Linked DNA regions of Drosophila melanogaster. The protein of the gene in region 4 interacts with the protein of the main gene of each other region in a pairwise test. Each region holds a gene or a part of one and is shown on either strand. Other genes may lie near its edges.

Region 1 (4,534 bases), about 15 Mb from region 4:
AGTTTTAATTATGTATAGTAAAGGATCATTGGATCATTGATTGCAGATTCTAGCGTCGCGGACGCAGAATAAGTTTGTGTCATCTTTACTGTATAATGCCAATTTAATATGCTATTAAAAGCTTATCAGAACTTACTGTAATTCCATCAATTTACTTATTTTTGACAGCTTGATAAAACAAATCAAGTAAATTTCGCTAAAATACAGCAACTATGTGATGATTTCGCCAAGTGCAGTAGTCCATCATCTGTGGGTATCTGGCGTCTTGTGCGCATCCGTTTTTGTTTGCTTTTCGTGTAATTTCTCTTTCATTTCACTTGAGCAATTGAAGCGAGCTGTTATTTGCACTTTTGCTAAGCTCAAATTGTTGACTAATGTGTCACAATTGCCGAGTCAGGCCGTTCCTTATGATTATGCCCGCAGAGGTGTTTTCACCTGAGTACTCGAACTGCCCGAAGGAAAAGTCCCGAGTAGGACGTGCCTATCTGGCCCTAGATCCCGGCTCCCAGATATCCTGTTTCCAGACCCTGTCCTGGTTAAATAACTGTCATTATATATCACACTTTATGTTGCGCAATAAAAACAGAACCACAATAAAGTCACGAAAATAAAAAGTAATTTCAAGACGCGCACATGCGGTAAACATAACTATTTTCGGTGATACCGGGTCGACGGGGGGTATTAAACGGAGATGACATACAGACCAAGGGCCAGAAATAACAGTAGTATGAAAATATTATACAGACAACTTTCATTTCTTGCGGCAAAGTGCCCAAAAAACAAAAGCGTTCAAAAAATTAACAAAATCCAGAAGAATATATGACACATATTATGGCGGAGGGGGGGGGGGCTGGCCCGGCATCCACGGGTTAAGAGTCGGGGTGTGTGGAGGGTTAACCTGCGCAGCACCTGTTTATCACTTCATGTGTTGTAATCTGTGAGGCTCCAGAAGAAACTACACCTCTTTGTCTGCGTGCGTTTGTTCGAGGAGATGGGCAGAAGACTCTGCGGGAAGATGCGTCTTCAGGGGTCTCTTCGCTGTGTGTGTGTGTGATGCGCGCATGTGTATGAGTGTGTGGGGGAGAGAAGACGAACAACCTTGGCTTTGGCTCTCCGATGGAAACTTTCTCGTGCTCTCACATTCAACAGCCCTGCTGCCTGCGCTGACGTCGACCGAAGACGAAGAAGACTCGTCTTCGCATGCTCATGCGCAGCGACTTTCTTTAATGCGGAAGCAGACAAAGCTCTGCCTGCGCTTGCCTAATGCGGCTTCTAAGCTCGGAGGCTGCTGAGAAAGAGAGGCAGCGCTGCGGTCAGAAAGAGAGGGCAGCTGCCGTCTTCGCAGAGTCAAAATGCCAGAAAGAGCACGCAGACACGTGTGGAAGAGGGCTCAGGCTCTTCGGCGACGGAGACCCTAGCTGTATGTGTGGGCACCGGCGCTTTTTACATAATTTTACGTTATGCCGCTGCCGAGGCGACCGCTACGTTGGAAACTCTTTAAAAACAGCCTGACAGCGGCGAAAAGTTATCAAACCGCAGCTTGTTCCATTCGAATGAACACACCAGTGATTTCGGTGGTGCCAAAGGAATTCAGTCTCAGAAATCACCAATCCACCAACCCAGCCACCAGCATGAAGTTCTTCGTTGCCACCGCCTGCATCCTGCTCCTGGCAGCAGGTATCTCTGCCGATCCCGTCAAGGCCGCTGAGGAGCAGCCCGGCGCCTTTGCCCAGTGCCTCGAGTCCGACTCCATCTCGTGCCTGCAGCTCACGGTACGGATTATCTAGGCCCTAAGGATTATATACCCCTATTACAAAACGAAAGATCAAAGCACAATCGAGAACAATTGCAAAGATGCTTAACAGTGAAAGTGAAACCAAAAAATCAATAGATCACCGATTACGTGTTGTCCCATGTGATCTAAAGGATACTATTGAAGTGAAAGTGAAAAACAGTTTCTTTACAGCTTCCTGTCAAGCTGCAACTATTTCGCAATAATCAATTTTGAAAAGAGTGTGTAGTTTGCCAAACACAATTGACACCTGACAGGAAGATGTGAAAACAACATTACCACTTAAAAGTGTTTTTTAGACTTGCCAGCTGCTCTAAGCACATCTCTTTTATATTTCCGAGCTAAAAATATATCATCGAAATTCTATTCTAAAATTCTAAAATCTAAAAACAGTTGATAACAACAAATTTTCCCTTACTTGCAAACTAAGAAATTATTTTAAATTTCACTCACAACTAAATTCTTCCTTAGCCACTTATTTACATACACATGAAGTCATATAATTATAACAATCAATCAAACATATCCTCAATGACCAATATTTTAGACTTTAGATCACAGTTTATTACAGTTCGCTCTAATTCGAAACCCCACTACCTCCTCCACAGCTCTTCCGCAAGGCCAAGTCCGTGTTCGATAACCCTCAGATCGAGCTTTTCGGTGGTGTTTCTCTGGTGAAGTCCAATGAAGGTCGTCAGGGCAAGTCCCTGGACAACTCCCTGGCTGTTGAGGCCGCTCCCACCGTGGAGGCCCGCACCGCCGAGATGGGCAACTACTTCATGGACAACGCCAAGAGCTTCTTCGCTGAACGCTCCCTGAACTTCAACTTCGCTAACGCCGCTCGCAGCGTGGCCCGCGCCATTCCCGATGACATCAAGGCTGATCTCCGCGAGCTGGTTGTTGAGTCCCGTACCCGCAAGAAGAAGCTGCTGAAGAAGTTCCTGCCCATCCTGCTGGGAGTTGGTGCTAAGATCGCCGTCCTTGGAGTCGGCTCCATCTTCGGACTACTGTTCCTGGCCAAGAAGGCACTGGTTGTGTCTGTTATCGCCTTCTTCCTGGCTCTGGCTGCTGGTGCTTCCAGCGGACTGGGACGCATCGGTGGATCCGGAGGCGGCGGCGGTCTGCTCGGCGGTCTGGGAGGTCTCTTCGGCGGCAAGAACGCCGGTGGATCGTCGGCTGCCAGCACCGGTGGATGGTCCTCGGGTGGTGGTGCCTCCAGCGCCGGATGGTCCTCTGGCGGCAGCTCGGGTTGGGACACCCATGGTGCCTACAGCTCGCCTGTGGCCCAGACCATCGCCTACCAGGGATACAAGCAGGCCCGCCGGTAAACAATTGGTCAAGAGCCAAATTAACCGAAGGACGAAGGCCAAGGAGAGAGAGAGAAACAATCGCTAAAAATGATGACCTATATTTATATTTATTTATAAATTATTTATTTTAATTTATTACTTGAACGAGAAGTACGAGACGAACAAAGTGCCTTCCATTAGACAAAAAAACAATCACTTAATAACAAGACACACCCAAACACCAAACACCACCTTTCATCCAGAACCGCCAATAACCTCCACAAAGGAATCTTTACTACTTTCCGCACTCCTCACTCTTCACGCTGTATCTCAATTTCATGGCTGCACCTTTGATAAATGGACTGCAAATCTTTGCGACTAGTCGATCCATCAGTCAAAGCCAGTCGCCTCGCCCATCTAACTGTATCTATCTCTCATCTGTTTCCATCTATCTCTGTTCTACGACTATCTCTATCTGTACCTCTACCTTAATCTATCTACCTATCTGTCTATCCATATCTGTCTGACTATCTGGACTTTCTCACTTTACCGCCCGGGAAAGACCAACCGAATGCTGCTAAATCAAAGAATCAAATAATAATTCAAACATAAAAAATACTTTACCAACACGACTCTCTTTTCTCATCACCACACAATTTTCATTTCGGTTTGCATACGCAACTCGCCATCACAGCCCTCGACAGCATCACTCATACGCCGCGTTGTCTAGCAAAGCATTTGCACGTGGATGGCGCAACTTTCATTTCACTTTTACCCGCCTCATTCTTCCTGCTATCAGCCTCCAAAAATCGAACTCTTTATGGGGTTTCTAAATTTCACCCACTTATTTCACTTCCACTCTTCTGCTTCTGGTAAACTCCATTTTCACTGTGAACAAAGGCACATATGAACAAAGGCAATTTGCTGAAAAATAAAACAAACATTTAGCTACGCGCATTTCGGTTCATTCAAGGCGGGGCACCATCGTATTGTATTTTAATATTTCTCCACCTGACGGAGCCCCATTGTTAGGCGACGCTTAGCACCTTTTGGCCCAAAGAAAGTTGTAAACGCCGTCGAAATGGGCCCGGCTCAATTGAGCCTAAGTAACTGAACTGAAATGAACTGAACTGAACTGCAGTTGCCGGTTGGCAGAACGGCACTTTACAGCCGCTGATGGCTGATGGGCCGATAGGTGCTTTACTTATGAATATGACCCACTTTGGGGGCTGGCTCATGGATGCTGTGCACATTGACTGCCTATTGGCTTTCTTCGTGCACAAATACGTCAGCAATTAATGTGTCGCCGAATGGCTTAAAAGCACTTTTCTATGATCATTGGGGCCGGTTGGTTGGCGTTTCGTTGTTTGATTTGCTTGCTCAGCACACAACTGCTTGGTTCTGCTTCTACCGCAGTTTACAACTTCATTTCGGGCCCAATCGTGGACTCTTC
Region 2 (4,554 bases), on a different chromosome or scaffold from region 4:
TCAGCTATGTGGCGGCTGGAATTTTCCGACCTGGAACCAGCTTTATGGGCCCCACCCAGAAAATTACGCAGTGAGAATCTGTTTGGGATTCAAACACACCTGTTGTGCATCTAACGACTTTTCTTTTCATCGTAGACAATGGATGACCGATGCCTTCAACTACTGGGATGAGCTGCGTCGCTCCAAGGAGGCTCCTCTGGCGGGCGTGTGCCAATTATCCGGCTATATTTACTCCCGCACCTCCCCCTCCATCGTACGGGTACGTTGCCGGGCAGTCGACAATCAGTGATTCTTATCTTCATCGGCTTAATTCGATTAACTTTGTTGTTGGCTGCCTTAGAACCACTTTATTGAGAAACTATTGCCCGTCTACCGAAGAGCCACCGAGGAGGAACTGAGGCTATGCAACGGCGGCTGGAAGTACGGATCCTTCTTCACCACATGCCTAACGGAAAGCCGCCTCTTCTTGCCCTATGCCACTAAAAAGTGAGTAGCTGTTTTATGATATGAAAGAGAAACAATTTGAAAATAATCGTAAATATTAACATATTGTAGATTCCTGGAGAACGGAGGAGAGGTTGTCCGTCAGCATGTGAACAGCTTTTTCGAAGTGCCGCAGAACATTGACTTGCTCCTTAACTGCACCGGAATGGGAGCCAAGGAGTTGTGTGGGGACCAGCACTTGGTTCCCATTCGGGGTCAAGTGCTCAAAGTGCGTGCTCCCTGGGTAAAGACGGCTTTCTACGGCGATTACGACACCTACGTTCTTCCCGGATTTGAGACTGTGACCCTGGGAGGATGTCGCCAATTCGACAGCTACAACACCGAGTGGTGCAAATACGATAGCATGGCCATTCGAGAGCGTTGCTACGATTTGCTGCCCAGTCTCCGGAAAGCGGAGATCGTGCGGGAATGTGTTGGTCTGCGGCCACACCGCTCCGTCGTTCGGGTGGAGCCAGAACTGATCACGAATCCGGAAGGCAGGCGGCTGAAGGTAGTCCACAACTACGGCCACGGCGGCTACGGTGTGACCACGGCTCCTGGAACGGCTATGTACGCAGTTCGATTGGTACGCGATCTACTAGCGGGAAACAGTAAACTGTAGGTGGTAAAATCGTTGTTAATTGTTGGTCATTAAACTCTTTATACTCAGAATCTTTGAACCCAGATTTGATTTGGATTTTTTATTGTGCAATAAACTAATTGCAGTTCTCAAGGTTGCGATATGCGCCAGTTCCAAAGGTTTCAAGAAGGAATATTTAGAATATTTAAAGAAACAATTCTTATAAATTTTATTTACTGTTTTTATGAGTTCCTTGGTCTATATTGTTTCAGGATAAGAACATGGGTTCACAAAGTGAACGAATAAATTCGCGCCCACGAATAAATTCAAATGAACCCCTGGGCCAGTGCTCCACAAGGCTGCGGAAGTGCGAAGTGCGCATGACCGGCGCATGAATGGAAAGCTCGCCCGAAATCGCCGCGAAAGCTACGCCCACACACAGACACCCCAGGCACGGAAACCCATCGATTTTCAGCAGCAGGAAAAGCAGCAGGGAAATTGTGTGGGCAGCAGCCAGTCATCCAGTCAGTCAGTTAGCCAGCCAGTCAGCCAGGTTGAAACAGTTGAATTATGAAAACGTATACAAAACTGGCCCGTTTTCGCCGCACCAGTCAATTCGCCGCCTGAGAGCGAAGAAAAAATTGAAAATTGTGTGTCCTTTGGTGTCGACGTGTCGAGGCAAAAAGGTAGAACAGTTGGTGCGTTGCATTTGCTGAATAATTGAGCCACTGCAGCCGGAGTCAGTTCAATTCTGGCCAGACGAGTGGGTCCGCGGGCGTGTGAATAGTTGATTGGGTAACCGTAAACAACTCGACGAATCAATCGACGTGAAATCGCGGCGTATGTCAGTCCAGTGCCAAGGCTGAGTCGAGTCCTTTTCCTTATCCCTTCAGCGAAAGGAGCTGCCATTATCGATTTGTGTGTATGTGCGAGCAACAACACGGCGTACCTCTCACCCACACATCGAAAACAGCAGGATATTCTTGTGACAGCAGGATCTGCAGCAGCACCATCATAAACAGCAACTGAGATATTAGCAGCAGATACTACTGTAACCGCAATAACCTCAAGAAAGAGTAAGTTTATCTGACACATTAAGTATCCGCCATGATGGACCAAAATGGGTGAATGGGGGTACTAGTTCCAGCTAAAACCAAAATACCTGAGTTTTCGCATCAAAAACTTTGCAGTATCAGTTCCATATTGTCAAATAATGAGGCCGTTGGTTGGAATTTATTATTTTTACATTAAACTTCATTGATTTTGACATTATAAAGATTACACATCAACTTTTTAAAAGTATTTAAAAGGTATTTAATAACTCAATGTTACTTTTATAGTAGTTCCAAAAAAACTTCTGATGGATTTCAGCTTAGTGTATCATATCTTATTGACAATAGATATGGGCTATACATACATATGAATGTGGCCAAATAATACATATGTAGTTTTACAACTTCCAGGAAAGAGTTAATTGTTTATTCCCATTGATTGATAACTCGGTATTTATGCACATGCCTAATATTTACGTTTGACAACAAACCTTAAATTGAAACTTTTCCAATTGGAACCGTTAAGGCAGGATTGAGTTCTCGTTTTGGCCAATATTGGGTTTCTTATCAATAATTAAACAAGCCCGCAGCTGCCGACCGCTGAACAGCTGCCAAATCATTGGAAATTTGAAACATGAAAGAGCAGTTAAGGGGGTGGGTAATGGGGGCAGGGTCTGGCAGCCACCCCCACGCAGGGGGAAAACAACAGAAAAATCGATAATTACACGCAGTCGAGCAGATAAAAACATTTCCACACAGCGCCTGTGATAAGGGCCGTCTGCCGTTGAAGACCTCTTATTGCGGCCCCTCTTTGGTGTCTGCGTTTGGGTTTGGGTTTGGGTTTGGGTTCGGGCCCCTCCAGGATATTTCTGGGCCTGAAGAGGCTTGACAGGAGCGAAGCCTGTCCTTTTGCCAGCAAAATCCTTGACGATGACGCGCGCACTCGGTCCTTCTACACCAAGTCGTTCATCAGCAATCTGACAGCGTTTTGCCGCTGCGCAACTTCTGATTCTGGACGGGGGAAATAAGGATGAGCGGAAACGGAACCAGGAGAACCAGGCTATATACACAAATTATCGACACAATGTCGCCGCCTTCATTGCATATGGAAAACAGGCAGCCAACCATCCCGAATGGCAAACTGTAAGCCGAGACTGTTGTCACTTGCCCAAGCCAAGGCTGAAAGTTTTCAAGGCCGCACCAGCCCACCAGCCCACCAACCCGCCGTTCAGCTCTGAAATTCGCTTTGAGTTTTCCCAGTGACGTGACAGGGATAATCAAGTGGGTCCTTTCCCAAGTCAGGCCGCTAAAGCCAACCCCTCCCGCCTACTCCAAGGATTAAAAGTCAAGGGAATTGGGGGGTTATGCTTTAGAAAATATAAACGCAACTTGTTTAATCCACACGCACGCGATTCAATCACTTCCGGGCACAGAGAGAACTCCGGTTGGCCACCAGTTGGCCTTGACCGGTGTTTCATGTGCACCATCTAGCCCCACCGGTTCTTCGTGCAGCATGGACCACAAATGGAGTGTCTATGGATGACATAAAGGTTGATAATAGCACATTAGCTACTCGACCAGCTCCATGCGAATTCCGATGTTGACGCCATCGCCCACGCCGCAAAAGGCATCGGCCTTGCAGCCATTCTGTACACCCATGTTTCTTCCCGTTCCTCTGTTATGGATCATTAGCTCCTCCGGTGTATCCTGATGGATGCCGCACTTGGACTTGGATTCATTGACACCGCTGAATATCACAATGCCAGGATTGCAAAAGTTACCCTGATTGGGAGCCATCATAGGCATCTGAGATGGCTGTTCCAGTTGCCTAGGCGAATCCTTCCGCATCAGCGTAGTCATGCATATGCTAGTGTTGCTGCTACTAGTTATTATGGTCGTGGTATCTATGGTCTCAATTAGCTGACCTTCATCCTCGGAAGCAGCGATGGCCGCCTCGCTTGCTTGCTCCTGCTGAGCTTTCAAGTCGCTTTCCCTTTGCCGCTCCAGTTCGCGCTCTAGTTCCAATTGCTGCTCCTGCTCGATACGTTCCTCTTCGTGCTCCTCCTGAGCTTGAGCCTGGCATAGCTCCACATGCATTCTGGACAACTGGGCGGCATCGTATGGGCAGAAGCAGTTTAGGCTTACAACTCGATTGCCCATGTGCTGGACTGGTCGGCTGTTACGGGCTATGGGCGAGATCCCATCCGGACCTAGGAGCAAACGAAAGTGACGCAGCTGAAAGTCGCTAATGGCTAGGGATTCGGGAAAGATGAACCATTCGGTGCCCTGGTAACAGGGCGGATGGGTCAGCGAACCGCCGTAGGAATAGAATCCAGATCGAAATTGATACATCAAGTAGGATATGGGAAATGGAGAAATCTGGACACGCTTTCCAGGCTTCTGAACCAATCGCAAATTCTGCACCAGGGGATCCAGGAA
Region 3 (4,937 bases), on a different chromosome or scaffold from region 4:
GGGCGTGGAGCAGCTGTATTCCTTCTAATTTGTGCGAGCAGTGTTTCCTGTTGTTTCAGAAGGCTTGTGGAATGTGCATCCCTATCGTGCACCCACAGTATTCCAGCTTGTAGCCATTGTTGTGGCAACTGTTTGTCGTTTGGCGTTCTTAAAGAGAGAATATAGTTCTAGAAACCCATATCCTATTTGCGATTTAACGTTATCTTGTGTTATCTGCGCTGAATCTTGTGGTTATCCCCTCGCTTTTCTTTAAGCTGTGCCAATGAGCTGGCAGGTACGGAATCGATCTTATCTCGATCATATTCCTATCCCCTATCTGGCGATTAAACCCCCGGCCGTGCAAAATGGTCGAGTGCCAAGTGCCTGTTATCTATGTTTGTTTTCTTTACGGCTTTGAGTAATTTGTTGGACTTTCCCAGGCAGCCATAAATCTATCCAGCTGTAAATATTTATGGTCCGCATTAGCTATTGTTTCGCGTCGAGATTGCTTAGGTTTTTCACGAAAACGCCGCGCTATACCACAAGATTGCACAGTTCCGGAAATATATAGATACATGTGCCTGAAAGGTTGTCAATTTCGCACTATATTTTAGTCCAGCACTCAGACTCACCGTTTCGAAACCGTTGCGGTCATCTTCGGCGAAGTGGATGTGCTGGAATCGATCATCCCTATCACGAAAGCGGGCAAAGTGCCAAGCTGCAGAAAGTCCATATATATGTGGGTGGTCTTTGGAAAACTGGTGATGCACTTACCGCGACTGAATTCAGAGCTGCTCATCAGGTGACTGGATTCGAAGCTCGAGCTGGATATGGATGTGGCTGTGCTAGAGAATTCGGGATTCCGCTGTCTATGAAGCATGCTTGAGCTGTAGCCTGGATATCTGACAGCTAAGGCAACGGACAATTACCCTAAGTATAACAAATTATTTATTTAGATTATAAATAATTATGGGGGATCTTTATAGTATTATAATATAATATTTAATATAATTGTAATTTTGAAATTGACATGACGTCTTTATATCTTTCATGTACAAATCTAATCAGTTGGGCAAACACTTCATCGCCTATCATCATTGATATCGGACTCCGGACCTTCGAGATCTTGAGATCTATAAGTACCCATATCTGAAGATCGGAGCCCCTTGAAGCACTGCCCTAAGAAACGAGTACGATTGGCTATCTGACTATCTGGCTATCTTAGGCAAGGACATCGTCTATATCTCGCTTTCGCTTCGCCTTTTCAGGCCGATTACTTAATCGGCACAAAGTGCGATTCGGTAAGCCGCGTGCCGAGTTGTGCGATTGGCCCACCTATTAGGTAGGTTGGTAGGTGCGATTTAATCGAAGATACCCTATCGCCGCTTGACCACCAGTTTGCTAATTGATAAGGTCTTAACTGTAATCCCCAGGCTGAGCGAAGAGTTTCTCGCCCAGATACAACGCCATCACAATCCATGGATACGGGATGCATAATAGCTGGCCGGGGATACGAGTACTCGATGTCTGAGTGTGTCAACACGCAACCCGCTCAATCGACACACAGACCCCCAATGCCTTGATGGCTTTAATTAAGTGTTACTCAATCGATCGCATAGCTGGCATTATGAAGACTAGACACCATGCAATCTGTAGCCAAGTAAGTGACAATCGTAAAATCGAAAGCAAGAAGCAAAACAAAAAGTTCACTTGTCGCACAGTCAGGGCCTCTCGTTGAGCAATAATGGTTAACAATAACAATAACAATAACAATGTCGTGCTACGGACTATCGCAGATCGGCCGATTGGCTATGGCCAATAGATGTATTATACTTGTTTCTGGGCATGGCATTAATGATAGGCGGCCATAAATACTATTCGCAGCTATCGACGCAGCGATTAAGTTCATAAAACAAAAATGCCACAAAGTTTTGTGACCACCTCCGATTAGATGCCTATCAAAAGCGGTGAGCCAAACGGGGTTAGATGGTATAGGTTACATTATGGATTTCCTATTTAAGGCGTCGCAGTAAAGTATCCTCAAATTTTCTCATTTCTTCATAAGGGGTTACATAATGAAGATCAGCGAAAATCTACAAATTTCGAAAGTTTCCGGCCTTGAATGCCTATGGATTAGAAATTTCATTACGAGTTCAACGAGATATTGTATTTCAAATAAGGCCAACTATTTCCCATGTTGTTTTTAAAGTACTGTTCTTAAGGTGGCGGAAATCTGAATTATAACTTTTGACAAAAATTCGACATTTAAAAGTGATCTTTTCGCTATAATTTGGTAGTTCGTGCCCAGTTTAGGGTGTTTTCTTTTTAATATTAAAAATAATTGTTGTATTTATTAACCTATCCACCGTTTGAATGACTTATACTTATGACTAATCTGATATGAAGTACGTACGTCTTTTGAAATGCCTGTTTATTTCGCAAAAACTTATTACCGATGTGATAACTTTATCGGCCATAAAACTACTTAATAGATTTGTAATAGTTTATTTTCCTATTACTATCATTTTAAGGAGCTTAAATTAATTTATTGTATTGCTGCCAAAATACTGCCAATCATTTCGGTCTTAAGTTATGTACATACGTATGAACTTTGTTTGCCCACGGAAAAGCGTTGAAAAAGAAAGTCATGTAGCTTGTTAATATGCAAGTCATTAGTATTAAACACTGGACGCGTTGCTCTAAAAATTGTTTGGGTACTTTCTTAAAAATTAAATGGCTGATTAGTTACTTTTCGACCAATATCAGCAAGACATTTGGCTATTTAATAATGATTAATTGCCCGATTAACACACAGTTCAAGCCATTGAAGATTCTGACTCGATCTCCTTACCCTACAAATTTCCTTGGCCATCATTATCTCTTCTATTTTGGCGTTGATTTTTTTTTATCAGCGTATAGACGTAGTAGCTCTTTAAATAATTATCTTTAGACCATATACTAAACTACTTTTCGATTCATGACTTACGGTGGGTAAAGTTGGGAAGCTCCCATCCCTCAGACGTGCAAGTAATGGCCAGAGATAACCGTTTGGTGCGATGAAAATATTTAGTTAATGATGGTGCGCAATCTGCATCGCCCACTATACACAACACAGCAACCACCCACCCACTGACTGATGACAGACGGGGCGTGGCAGGTGTGATAAGCGGAGCAATTGTGATGGACAGCGATCTGTAAATTGACAGGCGGCCAAGGGCGGGGAAGGGTGAAATGTCAAGCAGATATTCCGGTGGGTAGTTGTGGGCCATAAATAACAATCGCGAGAGCTGCGAGCTGCGGCTCCATTCATTGTGGGTAAGCGAACACCGGGCCGTAAATACTTCCACTTGCCTGTCGATACGATAACATTGCGATTAGGCTTATCACCACTACTCGCTCGTTCTAACGCCTTTCGCCATCCTTCGACGTCGAGCAAGCGCGCAGTCGCAGCGGGCAGAGCAGTGCGGCAAAGCGACAAAGCGGCGAGCGGCGAAACCGTCAACGGCTTCTTAGCTAAGTTCGTTCACAGTCGACTTCAGTCTGAGGCTGTTGATCGCCGCTTGCGGACGTGGTCGCTCAATCCTGCTCGATTCATAACCGATTCAAAACCGATCCCATCCGAAACGACGTGCGTTCCAATTTTTTTTTTTTTGCAGTTGTTAAATGTTTTAATGTGAGTTACGAGTGCGCGAATGCAATGGAACAATAAAAGCAATAACGATCCGAAAGCTTCGCCAGAGACAATAAAAGCAATATCAAAACACTGATGTCTATATTATGAAAAGATCTTACGAAACAATAAAATCCTTTTAAAGGCCAATGCAGCAAAATAGGATAAAGTTACCAGAGAAAGAGCTTCCTTTTTTTATACAGTTTGAAAATCAATTTGCAACACAGAAAATCAATTAAAACTATTAATAATCTGAATGAGATATATTTGCGATATTGTTGGTTTAATTAATTATTTCGCAGTGGCAATTGGAAATTTCCCTTAAATATAGCCAATTTGTGGGCTTATTGAACTCCAGACGAGGATCAGTACTTTTTTGCTTTTATTGTCTCTTTTGTCTCTTATTGGAAAAAAATAAACAAAATTTACACGTAATATACATATATGTGCATATATTTTTCGTTAAATTAAAAGAAAGTTGAGTTTATGCATCTTATACATATGCACATTCCTACAACGTAATGATTTTTAAAGTAAATTTAATATTTTTCTTCGATTTCAAGTGACGCGTAACGGATGTGAAGCGATCTCCGGGTTCCCAACATGACGGATAAAAAAAATGGTATTGTTAATTACTAAAAATAACCACAGATGCATAATTATAGTTTTTACAGAGGGGTGGCGATTATACAGACTACTGAACCGAGATTTATGGCCCATATTTTTGTGAGGCTCGAGTTTTACTCATTGTTTCGATTTCTAGACATGCTATATAAGCCACACAAAATACACCTCACCATAGATTGCAATAGTGTTCTTATTTAGTTTATTGCACCTATTTACTTCGATACTCCTCACCCTTCAGTTTTAATCAGTGGCCGTTGGGTAACGTGCAAGTTATAAGAATTGGCGGAATACATCTCCACTTGCCAGTTATGACTCAACGGACGAACGATTTTCAGAACTCCAGGTTCGCAACTACGATAATCGGTTCTCTTGGCCGCGTGTGCAGTTTGCAAATCTAATCGCTCTGATAAGGGACTTTGAGTGACTGGCCCCGGGTTTTAGCCACTTGAGCGGCTCCAACACAAGCAACGAGCAGGTCCAAATGTGGATTTACTTTCGACGGTCCCCAAAAAAGAGCTGCCAAACTTGGTCAATTGGCACGGACCAACCTTGCCTATATACTTGCCTATTCAAATCTCAAAAAATAAATAACTCGACTTGCCTACACCGATGCAAATTTTCCAATTTGTACAACTGTGTGCGCCTGCATTTCAATGTCAGA
Region 4 (6,585 bases):
TCGACATCTTGTCATCGAAACACATGCCCATTGGAGGGGATTACAAATTCAGCCGGTTCTTTCTTTGCTGTTATTAATGCGTGCCACAATTATTTATGCCCAATTTCGAAGTCATTTCAAACCGTTTGTCTCCTGATAATTGCTAATAATTTAGCCTCACTTGACGACCATAAGCCCCCCAGGCCATGGCTTCTTATCGAGCAGTAGGCCTCGTCAATGTCTCGAATTGGTCGCATTTAGTTATCGCATAGCACCGAAAAACGATTTTATTTTTATCACCATTCACCATTCATTATTAACTATTCATTATTATGTTATAATTTGTTTCTGTAAAGTACAAAATACTTTTTGAATGGTCATTACTTACCATTGAGAGCTTCCTTCTGACCAACCATCAGACCCCCGAATACTCTATTCGAACCATTCATGTTGATAAATTTGAATACTCACCTTGTGATATGTCACAAAATGGCCGTCAGTTGGGTTTTTCGGGTGCAAAACGTTATATCGATGGGATTTTGTCGGGGATCACACAACTGACTATCAGTTAGCAGAGCAACAAGTGTCTGCTCATGATGAAGCGTCGAAGTGATATGTCCGGGGATTACAAGTGCACTCGGTAGCATGTTGTATGGGCTTCCTTTCCTTCATATCTTGGAAAGCAGGCTTTGCATAAATTAGTTTCCTAAATGTTTTAATCTCTTTTTCAGTCAAGGTGCTTTCCATTAAGGTATATCAATTATTATGCGAACAGAAACATAAAATATAATATATGTATGATGTTCAAAGAGTTATTTTTAAAATTTTGATGTCATAAAATTTTAATCACCAATCGATTGACTGTAGTTTACTGCCCCTTTTCAACGAAGAACCCCCGAAAATTCTATTTGCAATTCATTAAATCACTTTTCAGCGAATCATATCAAAAGAAATAGGTTTATTGCCAAATATCACATGAATTTGAGTCATTGTCATATGTAGTGAAGTCATACAGTTTCGATTGAACTCCTGCCAATTTAAAGTAGTCACCATTTAGCAAAATCACAAAACTTGAAGAACTTTTAACTCTTTACTTTCTACTCATCGTGTGAACCGAAGACATGATAACATCCTTTCCACCAGCGGAAACTAAAGATTTTCATTGTTCCCGAAACTCGTCGAGGCCCAAAACTTATCTCGAAGGTACCAATTTCTGGGGCGACCTGAAAAACAACATCAAAGGGGTATCTATCAGTAACAATAACAACAATTAAAGGCATTTATGGGCTGTGCGTTTTCCATTTTATCACCCGGCCCAAGCCGAAATCAAAAGTAATCCATCATCTGAGAGGCTTTACGAGGAGCCCGAGTACAACTGATAAGACACCCCGAAACACCTATCCATGCCCCAGGTATACAGACGCATATATTGTTCCCAAAGAGCAGAGAGGGACGGCACCATGGCCGAAATCATAACACAAACTCGATTACTCAATCAAAGCGATGGCTCTCTGATGGTGTTGGTAGGGGGTAGGGTGGGGGGTGCCTTTTGGGGCAATTTTAATTTGTTTACAACAACAATCAACAGAGTAAAATAGCCAAACAGTAGCTGAGAGCTGAAACCAGGTAACGATACCGATAAGGGGTGATTAACAATTACTCGATCAAACGCACCGACCCGCCGAGTGGGAGGCGTTCTGGGGGAGGGTGGTTGGGTGGTTGGGTGGTGGGTTCGATGGGTTGGCAGCTCAATAAGCGGGCGAGCAGGGACTGTGATTTATACAACGATCGCCGATTGGGTGTCCAACCGCGTACCGATGTCGAGCTGTCGCCGCCTGCAATTGGAAATTGGAATATGGGTATTGGGTATTGGGAATAGGAATCGAGTGGAGTGGAGTGGAGTGCCATCGAGGCAGTGGAGCGCCTAACCAACCACCACTCGCTTATCAATCGATGGCCGGTAGCTCGGCACTATCTCCCATGCGCGGCATATCTACATACCGCTCTATTATTGTTAATATTGATATCTACCCATTAGCACAACATTATAGGTACAATCTATTATATTCTGTGAAATCAGATTTGGTACAATTTATAGCGCCCATGGGCTCTGCGACGGCTCCTACAGCTGGTGGCCATTAGTTCATCGCCTGCGGCCGACGCAGTCGCTTCGATCGCTCCGGACCCAATCAATCGGTATCTACAGTTCGTTACTACCGCTCTCAGAATCCACCAATATGGATATCGCCACCAAGTCCAGCAAGGCCGCCTTCTCCATTGAGAATATCTTGGAGCAGAAGAGCTCCTCGCATCGATCTCAATCGCGCAGAGGCTCCTCTCAAAGTCCCGTGGCGGTAACAGCAGGCATAGCTACTCCACACGCACTGGCCATGCCCAAGGCATCCTTGGCCACTGGATCATCCTCCGCGGCGCCTACACCCTCTCCATCGTCCGCCACCAACATCTACGATCTATCCCGCGAGGCAGCTGCCGCCCAGTATGCCATGAAGAGTATGGACTCCAGTGCTGTCCTGGCTCCCACTTCGCTGCGCTTCAATCCCATCTACCCGGATCCCGCCTCGCTCTTCTACCAGCAGGTGCTGCAGCTCCAGAAGAATCCCTCGCTCTTCATGCCCCACTTCCAGGCGGCCGCTGTTGCCGCCGCAGCCGCTGTTCAGCCAACAGCCTATTGTGATCAATACAGTCCATTTACCATGGACTGCGAAGGTGAGTACTTCAGAATACCTACTTAGTGGGGTTAACATGTATTTTAGTTGGGTGTTGAATGTCCTAAAAGATAAAGATTCATTTTCAAGATAATTGCTTAATTTTTGTGGTAATTTATGATAAATCATTCACTAAAATAAGGGTGCATGAGGAGAAGACATTACAAATTTATTATAAAGTTATGGTATTTCCACAGAGCTATAGAAAAGGTATAGAAATGAAATATTAAATTATATGCAATCTAATCTCAGCAAATTCAAAAGATTGTAAAGCAGTTATAAGGCCAAGAAGTATAGTATATTTATTCGACATTATGAATGAAGACAATACAGCATTTCTTTATTAAAAAAAATTCTAGAATAAGATCAAAATTATTCAATTATTCGAGCTGTATACATACATGCAAACGCAGTTGAAACCCTTAGGTCAAGTTATTGACAAGCTCATAAAATAATTGACTAATATATTAATTAATGCGGTTTTGAGAAATCTATTAGCCCAATGATGTCTATCAACAATTTAGTCGTTTGACCTCATTAGCATATTTCATCATACTATCAAATGACCGGAAATGAGTCACCTGAATATGAATGAATAAGCGCTACAATTATCAATTAAACACTAAAATGCAGATAAAGGCAGAAGCATTCTCAGAGTATGATATGTTAAATCCCTATTCTTAAATTCTTATTCATGAAGCTTGGAACCATAGTTTCTATTAGACTTTCTCACAGTTTTTAGCAAAGACTAGGATTGATTCGACACTACCAAGTTCAAGTCATTGAACCTACCCATGCTGACACCTTAATCTCGCTCATCAAGTTGACACATGGAAATTGATCGCCATGGGAAAGGTGTTGCCTGAAATCCCCATTTAAATACCAAATATCTAAGCTAGCCTAAGTCCGAAGTGCCCGGACCACCGAATATTACAATGGGGATCCCACACAAAATGGGCCATAAACATGATTAATGTGTGTGTGTTGTGGTGCAGTTGGGTATTTGTCAAAGTCAAGTGTTGGCGCCAATGCCACTCGAAATCACATTTTCCCCGCCCCAAAAACTGCATTTCCCGGTTGGTTTTCTGGGCGGTGGTGTAACGGTAGATTAGCCCTAGCAATGCTGATAAAGTCAAAGTCCCGAATTCCATCCCCTCGCAGTACAAATGCCCCATTCAGATCGGAAAATATTTCGGTGGCTTATCAGAAGTGACAAATATTTGAAATTCAGGTGAGAGACAGCAGAAACTATATCTATGGATATTTAAGTGACAGTTAGTTTTCATTGAAAGGCATTGAGCTGTTGATTTGGGAAAATCGAGCTGCTGCGAATTAGACGGACTGTGAGAAATCATACTCATTTAAACCTTTGGATAACACACAATTATCACAGGCAGTATCTTTCGATATAATTGTAGTGAAATAGGAAGGAATCAATACAACATTATAGTGGAATGGAATATCTAAGTGCACCTTTCTGTTCCCAATATGCCCGTCTTGAGGATATATCTATGATGAGTCCAACTGAGTTAGGATCATACTACGCCTCAAAAAAAAAAAAGGAGTATTGATTAGCTTGCTCTATGCCATACTGATCACACAATGCAGATAGGAGTATCGTCGTGTATAGGGCACTTCAACTGTACTGCTATCCCGATTTCCGATTTGTTTGGCTTATCTAAACAAAAATGCTATTAGAGGCGATTAATAGGCGCTGTCCATCATCTTATAGCCACGATTGCCATTTGATTACGATAAGCCCGTCCGTTCCCGACACTCGTTCCACCTGGACAAGGGGCAAATGGTTAGGGGCGGAGGCGGGTGTGGTGGTGTTGGCGACAAGTACCTGATATGATATTATTCCTTCAATCGGACACGCACATTATAAAATAATAACAAATCCAATTTTCAGCGATTAAATGCCGCTGGGAAGAAGATAAGGGTGCTCTGCGGCCTTATCACTCCCGAATACGCCACTTAATAAAAATAAACATGAATAAGTCTATTTGTAACGATTTAAATTATGGCATCTGCAATCGGATGTTATTTATTTAATGGCATTTGGCCATTTCCAAGGGTTCTTGGCCAGATCGCCTCACCAATGAGGTAACTGGGTCCCCAAATATCAGCTTAGTTCAGCGATGGAGCACACTCCAAATATGCGCCAAGTGCGAATTTCCGTTACCTTAACTAAAAAAAAAAAAAGAGGCCACCTTCCTTATCACATAGGTGTATGTACATAGGTGCAGATAGGTTCGCAATCGGATTGCCGTTCGGGTGCCAATTGATTTCGCCCAATTGCTACGAAATCTCGGCGTACAGTCGATCCATTTCGCAATGGCCACCATTCGCAAGTCGTCATCCAGTTACAAGTGGGCGTTGACATATTCTCCGATACTGATACAACACCCATACACTTGTACCACTCGCAATTGTTGTGTCCGATTACTTTGATAAGAGCGGGTGGGCGGAGATAGGGAAAACCGGGCCAATGGAGCCACCAATCACAATCCAATGATTGCGCCACTTTATATCGGGCAGATGGTTCAAAATCGTTATTCAAAGAAATCGATTGTCCTCGACTTTTTCATGGCAGCTTTTGATAAACTCTGAAGTGGGTCTATAATGTCATTAGTTCTTTAATTAAGATCGTATTAACAATGAAATATTTAGTTTAAATATTTCTCATCTGATATAGGAAACCCTTGTTCACAAAGTGAAGTGTTAACAATAAGTTAGTTCTGTAACCTCTTCAGCAATTGTAATCTAAAACAAACTGTCTTCCTTTTTAATCCATAGGATTCCCCAATCCTGCCTCCGCTGCAGCCGCCCTCTACTGCAATGCCTATCCGGCGGCCAGCTTCTACATGTCGAACTTCGGCGTGAAGCGAAAAGGCGGCCAGATCAGATTCACCTCCCAGCAGACCAAAAATCTCGAGGCTCGCTTCGCCAGCTCCAAGTACCTGTCGCCGGAGGAACGGCGTCATCTGGCCCTCCAACTCAAGCTGACCGACCGCCAGGTGAAGACCTGGTTTCAGAACCGGCGCGCCAAGTGGCGACGAGCCAATCTCAGCAAGCGCAGTGCATCCGCCCAAGGACCCATAGCAGGCGCTGCCGTGGGATCACCCTCCAGCGCCTCGAGCAGCAGTGTTCCCGTGTTGAATCTTGGCAGCGGAAGCAGGTGTGGCCAACAAAGCGACGAGGAGGATCGGATGTATCTGTCCGAGGACGATGAGGACGACGACGAAGACGAAGGCGAGGCGGATGAGACGCCCAAGTGAAGCTAGAGGATGGCCCATTGACTCATAAGTTAGTTTAGCTTGTAGTTAGGATAAATAAATTTATTTTATTAGAACTATAGTTATGCGAGTTAGTAAGTACTAGATGGGTGGTCTCCTAGTGGAACTGGTAGCTGTCCAAGCAGGCGCAATTGGGCAAGGTGCATCTTGGCGCCAGATTGGAGAGGTGACCCATGGTCACCGGAAAGGATAGCGGCACAAACCACTTGGGGTACGCACAAATGGCCGCTGCCGCCGCCGCTGATGCACTGCCTCCAAAGACCGGCGGCTTTAGCTCCACCACCGATTTGCTCTGGTACTGAAAGGTAAGATTTTGTATGTACTTAAATAAATATTTCATTAGGTACTTCCTACTTCCATGGACCACGCAAATCGTGACTTGATTGAATTCTGGAAGCGGAAATACAGACCGTTGAACTTAAGTAAAAACACAAAACACCTGTTACAGATTTGCTGTATACTATAGAATATAATACTATAGAAATAACCGGTATATTCACTTAAGTACACTTATAACTAAAAGGTACTTTATACAATTTGCACTATGCAGTTAGGTCGCTTACCTGATCTGTTATCACGGG

The links.
Region 1: the proteins of HHEX (region 4) and Osi6 interact in a two-hybrid assay, tested with the Drosophila melanogaster proteins (one large-scale study listed by BioGRID).
Region 2: the proteins of HHEX (region 4) and Rab3 interact in a two-hybrid assay, tested with the Drosophila melanogaster proteins (one large-scale study listed by BioGRID).
Region 3: the proteins of HHEX (region 4) and yin interact in a two-hybrid assay, tested with the Drosophila melanogaster proteins (one large-scale study listed by BioGRID).

Annotation. Positions count from the first base shown.
Region 1 is NT_033777.3:6,233,183-6,237,716, forward strand, and holds Osi6 (osiris 6), read left to right. Parts: upstream 1-1,525; 5' UTR 1,526-1,553; coding exon 1,554-1,772; intron 1,773-2,400; coding exon 2,401-3,120; 3' UTR 3,121-3,999; downstream 4,000-4,534.
Region 2 is NT_033778.4:10,726,190-10,730,743, reverse strand, and holds the start of Rab3 (Rab3), read left to right. Parts: upstream 1-1,540; 5' UTR 1,541-2,139; intron 2,140-3,471; exon of another isoform or gene 3,472-3,684; coding exon of another isoform or gene 3,685-4,554. Other genes in the region: Daao1 (D-amino acid oxidase 1), read left to right, coding at 1-70, 136-259, 341-486, 556-1,105; CAH13 (carbonic anhydrase 13), read right to left, coding at 3,685-4,554. UniProt on the Drosophila melanogaster protein: Involved in exocytosis by regulating a late step in synaptic vesicle fusion. Could play a role in neurotransmitter release by regulating membrane flow in the nerve terminal.
Region 3 is NC_004354.4:3,868,906-3,873,842, forward strand, and holds the start of yin (yin), read right to left. Parts: upstream 3,035-4,937; 5' UTR 2,966-3,034; intron 1,640-2,965; exon of another isoform or gene 1,413-1,639; intron 1,322-1,412; exon of another isoform or gene 1,048-1,321; intron 914-1,047; exon of another isoform or gene 910-913; 5' UTR 860-909; coding exon 754-859; exon of another isoform or gene 698-753; coding exon 612-697; exon of another isoform or gene 594-611; intron 275-593; exon of another isoform or gene 68-274; intron 1-67. UniProt on the Drosophila melanogaster protein: Important role in absorption of dietary peptides. High-affinity transporter of alanylalanine. Dipeptide transport activity is proton dependent.
Region 4 is NT_033777.3:21,076,315-21,082,899, reverse strand, and holds HHEX (hematopoietically expressed homeobox), read left to right. Parts: upstream 1-1,973; 5' UTR 1,974-2,216; coding exon 2,217-2,706; intron 2,707-5,504; coding exon 5,505-5,986; 3' UTR 5,987-6,038; downstream 6,039-6,585. Other genes in the region: dmrt93B (doublesex-Mab related 93B), read right to left, coding at 6,102-6,302, 6,568-6,585.